Xenopus tropicalis: one gene and its partner. Each later gene encodes a partner of the first gene's protein in a complex. Links are inferred from orthologs where the notes say so. Each region holds a gene or a part of one and is shown on either strand. Other genes may lie near its edges.

Region 1 (3,805 bases):
ACTGCTGCTGGGAGTACGTGCTACAGTGGAACAAAGACCCAGAGGTAGGGGCCGATAGTCACGTTCCCTTCCTTGTACTCCTGCTGCTTGTTTGGTGCAAACAGGGGGTTACTGTAGGGCTCTGCATTAGAGAAGTGCCATTTCCCTTAGGGACAGTGTAATGAAATCTGAAAATGAATGAAAATGGCTGCCCAACCCCTTGGATGTTGCTCTCAGTGCCCCCAAACCAGGGATTTATTTTTGAATTTTGGTTGAATAAAAACAAGATTTCCTACCAAATAAAGCCCCCTGTAAGCTGATAGGGTGCATAGGGGCTGCCTAATAGCCAATCACAGCTTTTATTTGGCTCCTCCATGAACTTTTATGGTGCTTGTGTAAGAAAGTTTGGGGACCCCTGCCATAAAGGAACCAAATCCAAGATGGCAGCCATGCTTTGCTATGAGAAAGAATGCTGTTAGTATTGGCATTATGCAAGTGTGTATGTCATTCTTACTACTTTCTTATATTCATTCCACAGGAAGTGCAGTTCCTTGCTCGCTCTATCGACCACTTAAAGCGAATCAGCAATGCACACGTGCAGTTTGGTGAGTGCTGTCAGTACAGTCAGTTTATGTGTCGTGCTGCCAGTTGTGTGTGTGTCTCTCTCATATATGTATTGTGGGTATTTGCTTGTCTCTCCAGAAGGGGGCGATATTGCTTATATGCGAGGATGATAATGGCGATATTGCTTATATGCGAGGATGATAATTACTCATCCAAACCTCATTTTCACTGGGAGCCCAGGAGTTCTAGCAGAAGAGATGAATGGGTGCCCATCTGGGCCAGACTGGCAGTCTGTATGTTCTGCCGTATACCAGAGGCACTTCTGTAAGATGCCATAGACAGTCAGTTTATTGGGGCTGTTTGCACCTCTGTGTAGGGAAGGGATGCCCATCATACAGTCGGTTTGCCATTAGTAATTTGCCTTGCACCCTGGCACAGATATGGGTGATTATTCCTTTCCTTCTGTTTTTCCACTCAGGGCTCTCTCTCATGATGTGGAACACGTTCATCATAAAGCGATTTTCTGCCGCTGCGTACCTCATAGATAAGGTGAGCTCCGGCCTTTGGGGGGGCGCTACTGTAATCCCATATGGTGATTAGACAACATCCTTTGGGATTAAAGGTGAAACTAAGCTTTAATCACTGGTGGGTGCCAAATGTTAGGCACCCTGCAGTGACTGTAATCACTTACCTGATACCCTGGGCCAGTAATTATTATCACTGTGGGGGGGGGGGGCGACGACTAACATTTGGCCCCCCTAGGTAATTTAAACTTCCCTTCTCCTTTAATTTAGCTAGGAGTACCTAGAACATATGTAACACCTACGTACTAGGTACTTAAGTAGAGGCATCGGGGATGTCCATCCTGCTCCCCTTTACTGTTGTGCAGTGCAACTGTCACTATTCCTGTGACTGGAGGATGCTGGGAGTTGTATCAGTTGCGTCTCAGGCTGGGCTTCCCTGATGTATATCCTGCACTGACAGTCCCTCTCTGCTTTGTGTTCTGTAGGTTGGGAAAGCTCCCAAGGACAGACTGTGCCGAAGGGTAAGTGTCACACGTAGGATTCCTCCTGTTTTGGAGGAGAGGAGGCAGTCGGATGAATGGCTATGGGGGGCAGTGGGGGTGATGGAGGGCTCCAGATTTACTTGTTATTTAGGGAGAGATTTCTGTGTATGAGTTGCCTGAGCCTTATTCTCTTTTGTTTCCTCTCCCAGGACGTGGGGATGAGCGACACGGCAATGGGCTCTTTCCTGGGGAGCTGCTCCGATCTCCTGCAGGCAATGATGGAGGTAATGGTGACAGATAGGGGTAACCCACCCCCCCATCCCCCCGACTCTGTACATAAACTCATGAGGATATGGGGGGGTGTTATCTTCTTATTGCTTTCTCCCATATGAAGTAGAAGAATGAATCTGTATTTATTGCTATTTCCTTGCCTCTGTTATTGCTCAGGGGGCTACTGACCCTGCTGCTGTTACCATGTTTAATTACCGTGGGTTTAATGCTCACCTCCTTACACCACTAAGCATGCTGGGGCATTAAGCGCTGACATCATGTGACCTTTGCGCTGTTTATTTCCCAAGGCTGACGTTAGCAGTGAGGAGATGCAGGCCCCCCTGCTGGAGCTGGAAGATTCCTGGGTGAATATGGAAGGTCCGAGCTCCATAGTAGAACTGGCTCTGGAACAGAAGCACATACACTACCCGCTGGTGGAGCACCAGTTTGTCCTCTCAGCCATTCTCTACTCAGTCATGAGGTTTTCCCTCAAATCCATCAAGCCTCTTGCGCTGTATGACAGTAAGGTACGTGCCGTGTCCCTTTGTTGCACAAGTTATCTGCACACTCACACTTGCTGTTTCAGGAGCTGGGTTTGAGCCACACAAGGAATATTTGGCCTTTAGTGCTCGGAGCAGTTGGGAGACCCCCTTTGTGGCTGCAGTCCGATCCCTGATTGGCAGTGGTTCCGTTGCATTGCTGCTGTGGGTTCCCGTTGCTGATTGTTGGCCAGACTATGGGTGGCACTGAGATCCCTGGCATTACAGTCTGTACCAGTTAGCCTTCCTCTTACCTCCCTAAAAGCTGAATGGAGAGGTCAGTCTGGCTAATCTAGTTATTGATTCTCACCAACGGTGCTCTGTATGGTCAGGAGTATGTGTATGCAGCCATCATGGCTGACTCATGGCGCCACAGCTTCATCCAGTGACATTCCTGACAATCCCATGCTTCCTGCTACATGGCATCAGTTTAGGGAAGCCCCATAACAGCACAATAATGCCCCCCGGCCAGATCCCTGCAGAATGGGGTTGCTGAGATAGGATTGGGAGAAGCCAGTTGAACCCCCTTGGGATGAATTGGAATTCTGGTTGTGAGCCAAGCCTGATCCCCCAACATCAGAGCCCAAGTAAATCCTCCCCAGAAGCAGAGGGGCTGTTATAGCAGCAAAGGGAGGGGCAACTTCATATGAATCCCCTGGCCAGTCAGGGGTCTGGATACTATTGCTCATGCAGTGTTCATTTATGGGGTAGTTAAGCTTTGCTTTAGATCTACTAAACGTAACATGCTGATTGGCTCCTCTGGGTTATTAGTACTGGCCCAAATTGATATGATTTCCATTTGTCACTGGCCTGCAGCATTCTGTAGCTGGCTCTCAGTCATTGTGGCCCATGTTCCAACCAATCACAGTTTGGCCAAATTGCAAAATGTCAAATGCTCATGTTTGTGAGTTTGTCTTTAAAGAAAAAACTGCATTGTTTGTTTTTTTATATTTAGGGTAAAAACGCATTTTTCAAAGATCTGACCTCCATTCAGCTGCTGCCGAGCGGGGATGCGGACCCGAGTTTAGTGAGCCTACGGCAACAGGTATGTCTGTGCTTTCTCATCTTCAGTCTTGTTCAGCCATAAGCACTTCCACTGGGGGGGTGTCCCAGTCAGGGTATCGCTGCCCAGTTTGGTCCCCTGTGCCTTAGGGCTGGTACAGTTGGTTGGTCTCCATGCCAACCAAGGAGCCATAATGTGGGCCTATACAGACCCACCAACTGGATCATGCTGTTCTCACCCAATGGGATCCTTTAGCTTGCCGATTGATAAGTGGCTGATGTTCGGCCAGTAACAGGGCCCACACACATATATTTGCACCTGAATGAGATGGAACATTAGATCTCTGTGCATTTTAGTAGTAACACACAAAATAATAACATTTCCTTCTCTCCTGCCCCAAGTTTTTGCTAAAGGTGATCAGTTCAGCCATCCAGACGCTGGCGG
Region 2 (4,297 bases), on another chromosome or scaffold:
CCCTGTGCCCCACAGTTATACTCCCTCCCTATTGTCACTATTCCCAGCACCCCCTGTGCCCCACAGTTATACTCCCTCCCTATTGTCACTATTCCCAGCACCCCCTGTGCCCCACAGTTATACTCCCTCCCTATTGTCACTATTCCCAGCACCCCCTGTGCCACACAGTTATACTCCCTCCCTATTGTCACTATTCCCAGCACCCCCTGTGCCCCACAGTTATACTCCCTCCCTATTGTCACTATTCCCAGCACCCCCTGTGCCACACAGTTATCAACTCCCACCCTATTGTCACTATTCCCAGCACCCCCTGTGCCCCACAGTTATCTACTCCCACCCTATTGTCACTATTCCCAGCACCCCCTGTGCCCCACAGTTATACTCCCTCCCTATTGTCACTATTCCCAGCACCCCCTGTGCCCCACAGTTATACTCCCTCCCTATTGTCACTATTCCCAGCACCCCCTGTGCCCCACAGTTATACTCCCTCCCTATTGTCACTATTCCCAGCACCCCCTGTGCCCCACAGTTATACTCCCTCCCTATTGTCACTATTCCCAGCACCCCCTGTGCCCCACAGTTATCTACTCCCACCCTATTGTCACTATTCCCAGCACCCCCTGTGCCCCACAGTTATACTCCCTCCCTATTGTCACTATTCCCAGCACCCCCTGTGCCCCACAGTTATACTCCCTCCCTATTGTCACTATTCCCAGCACCCCCTGTGCCACACAGTTATCAACTCCCACCCTATTGTCACTATTCCCAGCACCCCCTGTGCCCCACAGTTATCTACTCCCACCCTATTGTCACTATTCCCAGCACCCCCTGTGCCCCACAGTTATACTCCCTCCCTATTGTCACTATTCCCAGCACCCCCTGTGCCCCACAGTTATACTCCCTCCCTATTGTCACTATTCCCAGCACCCCCTGTGCCCCACAGTTATACTCCCTCCCTATTGTCACTATTCCCAGCACCCCCTGTGCCCCACAGTTATACTCCCTCCCTATTGTCACTATTCCCAGCACCCCCTGTGCCCCACAGTTATCTACTCCCACCCTATTGTCACTATTCCCAGCACCCCCTGTGCCCCACAGTTATACTCCCTCCCTATTGTCACTATTCCCAGCACCCCCTGTGCCCCACAGTTATACTCCCTCCCTATTGTCACTATTCCCAGCACCCCCTGTGCCCCACAGTTATCTACTCCCACCCTATTGTCACTATTCCCAGCACTCCCTGTGCCACACAGCCCCCCTTGTTGTCCCGCCCTTCGCCCCATGACCCCCAGCACCCCGGAGTGACACCCTGCCTCCCCTGTCCCACCCCAGTTCTGATGATTCCCGGGACCCTGTGCCTCACTCCCCCCCTCACACTCCCCCTCACACTCCCCGCAATGTTTTCCTTTAGTTCCTGTTTCCCAGCATGCACCGTGCTGACGTCTTCCCCGGCCCAAGATGGCGGCTGACAGTGATGTGAGTTTCCAGCTGTGTTGTTATCATTTCTGTTCCCTCGGCCTCCGATTTACTGTCTGTTCTTCTCTCCCTGCAGCCCGAGTCCGAGGTGTTTGAGATCACGGACTTTACTACTGCGTCCGAGTGGGAGAGGTAAGTGGGATGGGGAGAGACAGGGGTTGAGGGGTAGGTACCTGTGGGATGGGGAGAGACAGGGGTTGAGGGGTAGGTACCTGTGGGAGGGGGAGAGACAGGGGTTGAGGGGTAGGTACCTGTGGGAGAGGGAGAGACAGGGGCTGAGGGGTAGGTACCTGTGGGAGGGGGAGAGACAGGGGCTGAGGGGTAGGTACCTGTGGGAGGGGGAGAGACAGGGGCTGAGGGGTAGGTACCTGTGGGAGGGGGAGAGACAGGGGCTGAGGGGTAGGTACCTGTGGGAGGGGGAGAGACAGGGGTTGAGGGGTAGGTACCTGTGGGAGAGGGAGAGACAGGGGCTGAGGGGTAGGTACCTGTGGGAGGGGGAGAGACAGGGGCTGAGGGGTAGGTACCTGTGGGAGGGGGAGAGACAGGGGCTGAGGGGTAGGTACCTGTGGGAGGGGGAGAGACAGGGGCTGAGGGGTAGGTACCTGTGGGAGGGGGAGAGACACGGGCTGAGGGGTAGGTACCTGTGGGAGAGGGAGAGACAGGGGCTGAGGGGTAGGTACCTGTGGGAGAGTGAGAGACAGGGGCTGAGGGGTAGGTACCTGTGGGAGAGGGAGAGACAGGGGCATAGGGGTAGGTACCTGTGGGAGAGGGAGAGACAGGGGTTGAGGGGTAGGTACCTGTGGGAGAGGGAGAGACAGGGGCTGAGGGGTAGGTACCTGTGGGAGAGGGAGAGACAGGGGCTGAGGGGTAGGTACCTGTGGGAGAGGGAGAGACAGGGGTTGAGGGGTAGGTACCTGTGGGAGAGGGAGAGACAGGGGCTGAGGGGTAGGTACCTGTGGGAGAGGGAGAGACAGGGGCTGAGGGGTAGGTACCTGTGGGAGGGGGAGAGACAGGGGCTGAGGGGTAGGTACCTGTGGGAGAGGGAGAGACAGGGGCTGAGGGGTAGGTACCTGTGGGAGTGGGAGAGACAGGGGTTGAGGGGTAGGTACCTGTGGGAGAGGGAGAGACAGGGGCTGAGGGGTAGGTACCTGTGGGAGAGGGAGAGACAGGGGCTGAGGGGTAGGTACCTGTGGGAGGGGGAGAGACAGGGGCTGAGGGGTAGGTACCTGTGGGAGAGGGAGAGACAGGGGCTGAGGGGTAGGTACCTGTGGGAGGGGGAGAGACAGGGGCTGAGGGGTAGGTACCTGTGGGAGGGGGAGAGACAGGGGCTGAGGGGTAGGTACCTGTGGGAGGGGGAGAGACAGGGGCTGAGGGGTAGGTACCTGTGGGAGGGGGAGAGACAGGGGCTGAGGGGTAGGTACCTGTGGGAGGGGGAGAGACAGGGGTTGAGGGGTAGGTACCTGTGGGAGAGGGAGAGACAGGGGTTGGTACCTGTGGGAGAGGGAGAGACAGGGGCTGAGGGATAGGTACCTGTGGGAGAGGGAGAGACAGGGGTTGAGGGTAGGTACCTGTGGGAGTGGGAGAGACAGGGGCATAGGGGTAGGTACCTGTGGGAGAGGGAGAGACAGGGGTTGAGGGGGTAGGTACCTGTGGGAGAGGGAGAGACAGGGGCATAGGGGTAGGTACCTGTGGGAGAGGGAGAGACAGGGGCTGAGGGGTAGGTACCTGTGGGAGGGGGAGAGACAGGGGCTGAGGGGTAGGTACCTGTGGGAAGGGGAGAGACAGGGGCTGAGGGGTAGGTACCTGTGGGAGAGAGAGAGACAGGGGTTGGTACCTGTGGGAGAGGGAGAGACAGGGGCTGAGGGATAGGTACCTGTGGGAAAGGGAGAGACAGGGGTTGAGGGGTAGGTACCTGTGGGAGGGGGAGAGACAGGGGCATAGGGGTAGGTACCTGTGGGAGAGGGAGAGACAGGGGTTGAGGGGTAGGTACCTGTGGGAGTGGGAGAGACAGGGGCATAGGGGTAGGTACCTGTGGGAGGGGGAGAGACAGGGGCTGAGGGTAGGTACCTGTGGGAGGGGGAGAGACAGGGGTTGAGGGGTAGGTACCTGTGGGAGAGGGAGAGACAGGGGTTGGTACCTGTGGGAGAGGGAGAGACAGGGGCTGAGGGATAGGTACCTGTGGGAGAGGGAGAGACAGGGGTTGAGGGGTAGGTACCTGTGGGAGAGGGAGAGACAGGGGCATAGGGGTAGGTACCTGTGGGAGAGGGAGAGACAGGGGTTGAGGGGTAGGTACCTGTGGGAGAGACAGGGGCATAGGGGTAGGTACCTGTGGGAGAGGGAGAGACAGGGGCTGAGGGGTAGGTACCTGTGGGAGGGGGAGAGACAGGGGCTGAGGGGTAGGTACCTGTGGGAAGGGGAGAGACAGGGGCTGAGGGGTAGGTACCTGTGGGAGAGGGAGAGACAGGGGCTGAGGGGTAGGTACCTGTGGGAGGGGGAGAGACAGGGGCTGAGGGGTAGGTACCTGTGGGAGAGGGAGAGACAGGGGTTGAGGGGTAGGTACCTGTGGGAGAGGGAGAGACAGGGGCATAGGGGTAGGTACCTGTGGGAGAGGGAGAGACAGGGGTTGAGGGGTAGGTACCTGTGGGAGTGGGAGAGACAGGGGCATAGGGGTAGGTACCTGTGGGAGAGGGAGAGACAGGGGCTGAGGGGTAGGTACCTGTGGGAGGGGGAGAGACAGGGGCTGAGGGTAGGTACCTGTGGGAAGGGGAGAGACAGGGGCTGAGGGGTAGGTACCTGTGGGAGAGGAAGAGACAGGGGCTGA

Evidence for each region.
Region 2: the proteins of rab3gap2 (region 1) and rab3gap1 are in contact, whole or in part, in a cryo-EM structure (PDB 8VYB), measured with the Homo sapiens proteins. The link is inferred for Xenopus tropicalis from reciprocal best matches to the Homo sapiens genes RAB3GAP2 and RAB3GAP1. Residues at the interface, in NP_036546.2 of Homo sapiens: Arg197, His198, Pro199, Gly200, Ser276, Pro277, Phe278, Asp279, Met281, Lys282, Ser285, Asn286, Ile287, Gly289, Phe290, Asn291, Ala292, Ile294, Arg377, Phe378, Gly379, Leu380, Pro381, Asp382, Arg385, Cys395, Thr397, Leu398, Arg407, Arg415; in NP_036365.1 of Homo sapiens: Thr19, Ser21, Trp23, Glu24, Glu142, Ser143, Asn146, Leu147, Leu149, Ser150, Ser153, Ile154, Ile169, His170, Trp173, Arg174, Met176, Arg187, Asp189, Glu191, Met192, Val193, His194, Leu195, Arg196, Pro199, Tyr202, Ile211, Ser214, Lys215.

What each region holds. Positions count from the first base shown.
Region 1 is NC_030681.2:10,595,270-10,599,074, forward strand, and holds part of rab3gap2 (rab3 GTPase-activating protein non-catalytic subunit), read left to right. Parts: coding exon 1-44; intron 45-517; coding exon 518-584; intron 585-1,021; coding exon 1,022-1,092; intron 1,093-1,552; coding exon 1,553-1,588; intron 1,589-1,758; coding exon 1,759-1,833; intron 1,834-2,127; coding exon 2,128-2,346; intron 2,347-3,313; coding exon 3,314-3,403; intron 3,404-3,762; coding exon 3,763-3,805. UniProt on the Homo sapiens protein: Regulatory subunit of the Rab3 GTPase-activating (Rab3GAP) complex composed of RAB3GAP1 and RAB3GAP2, which has GTPase-activating protein (GAP) activity towards various Rab3 subfamily members (RAB3A, RAB3B, RAB3C and RAB3D), RAB5A and RAB43, and guanine nucleotide exchange factor (GEF) activity towards RAB18.
Region 2 is NC_030685.2:84,384,197-84,388,493, reverse strand, and holds the start of rab3gap1 (rab3 GTPase-activating protein catalytic subunit), read left to right. Parts: upstream 1-1,383; 5' UTR 1,384-1,458; coding exon 1,459-1,476; intron 1,477-1,552; coding exon 1,553-1,608; intron 1,609-4,297. UniProt on the Homo sapiens protein: Catalytic subunit of the Rab3 GTPase-activating (Rab3GAP) complex composed of RAB3GAP1 and RAB3GAP2, which has GTPase-activating protein (GAP) activity towards various Rab3 subfamily members (RAB3A, RAB3B, RAB3C and RAB3D), RAB5A and RAB43, and guanine nucleotide exchange factor (GEF) activity towards RAB18.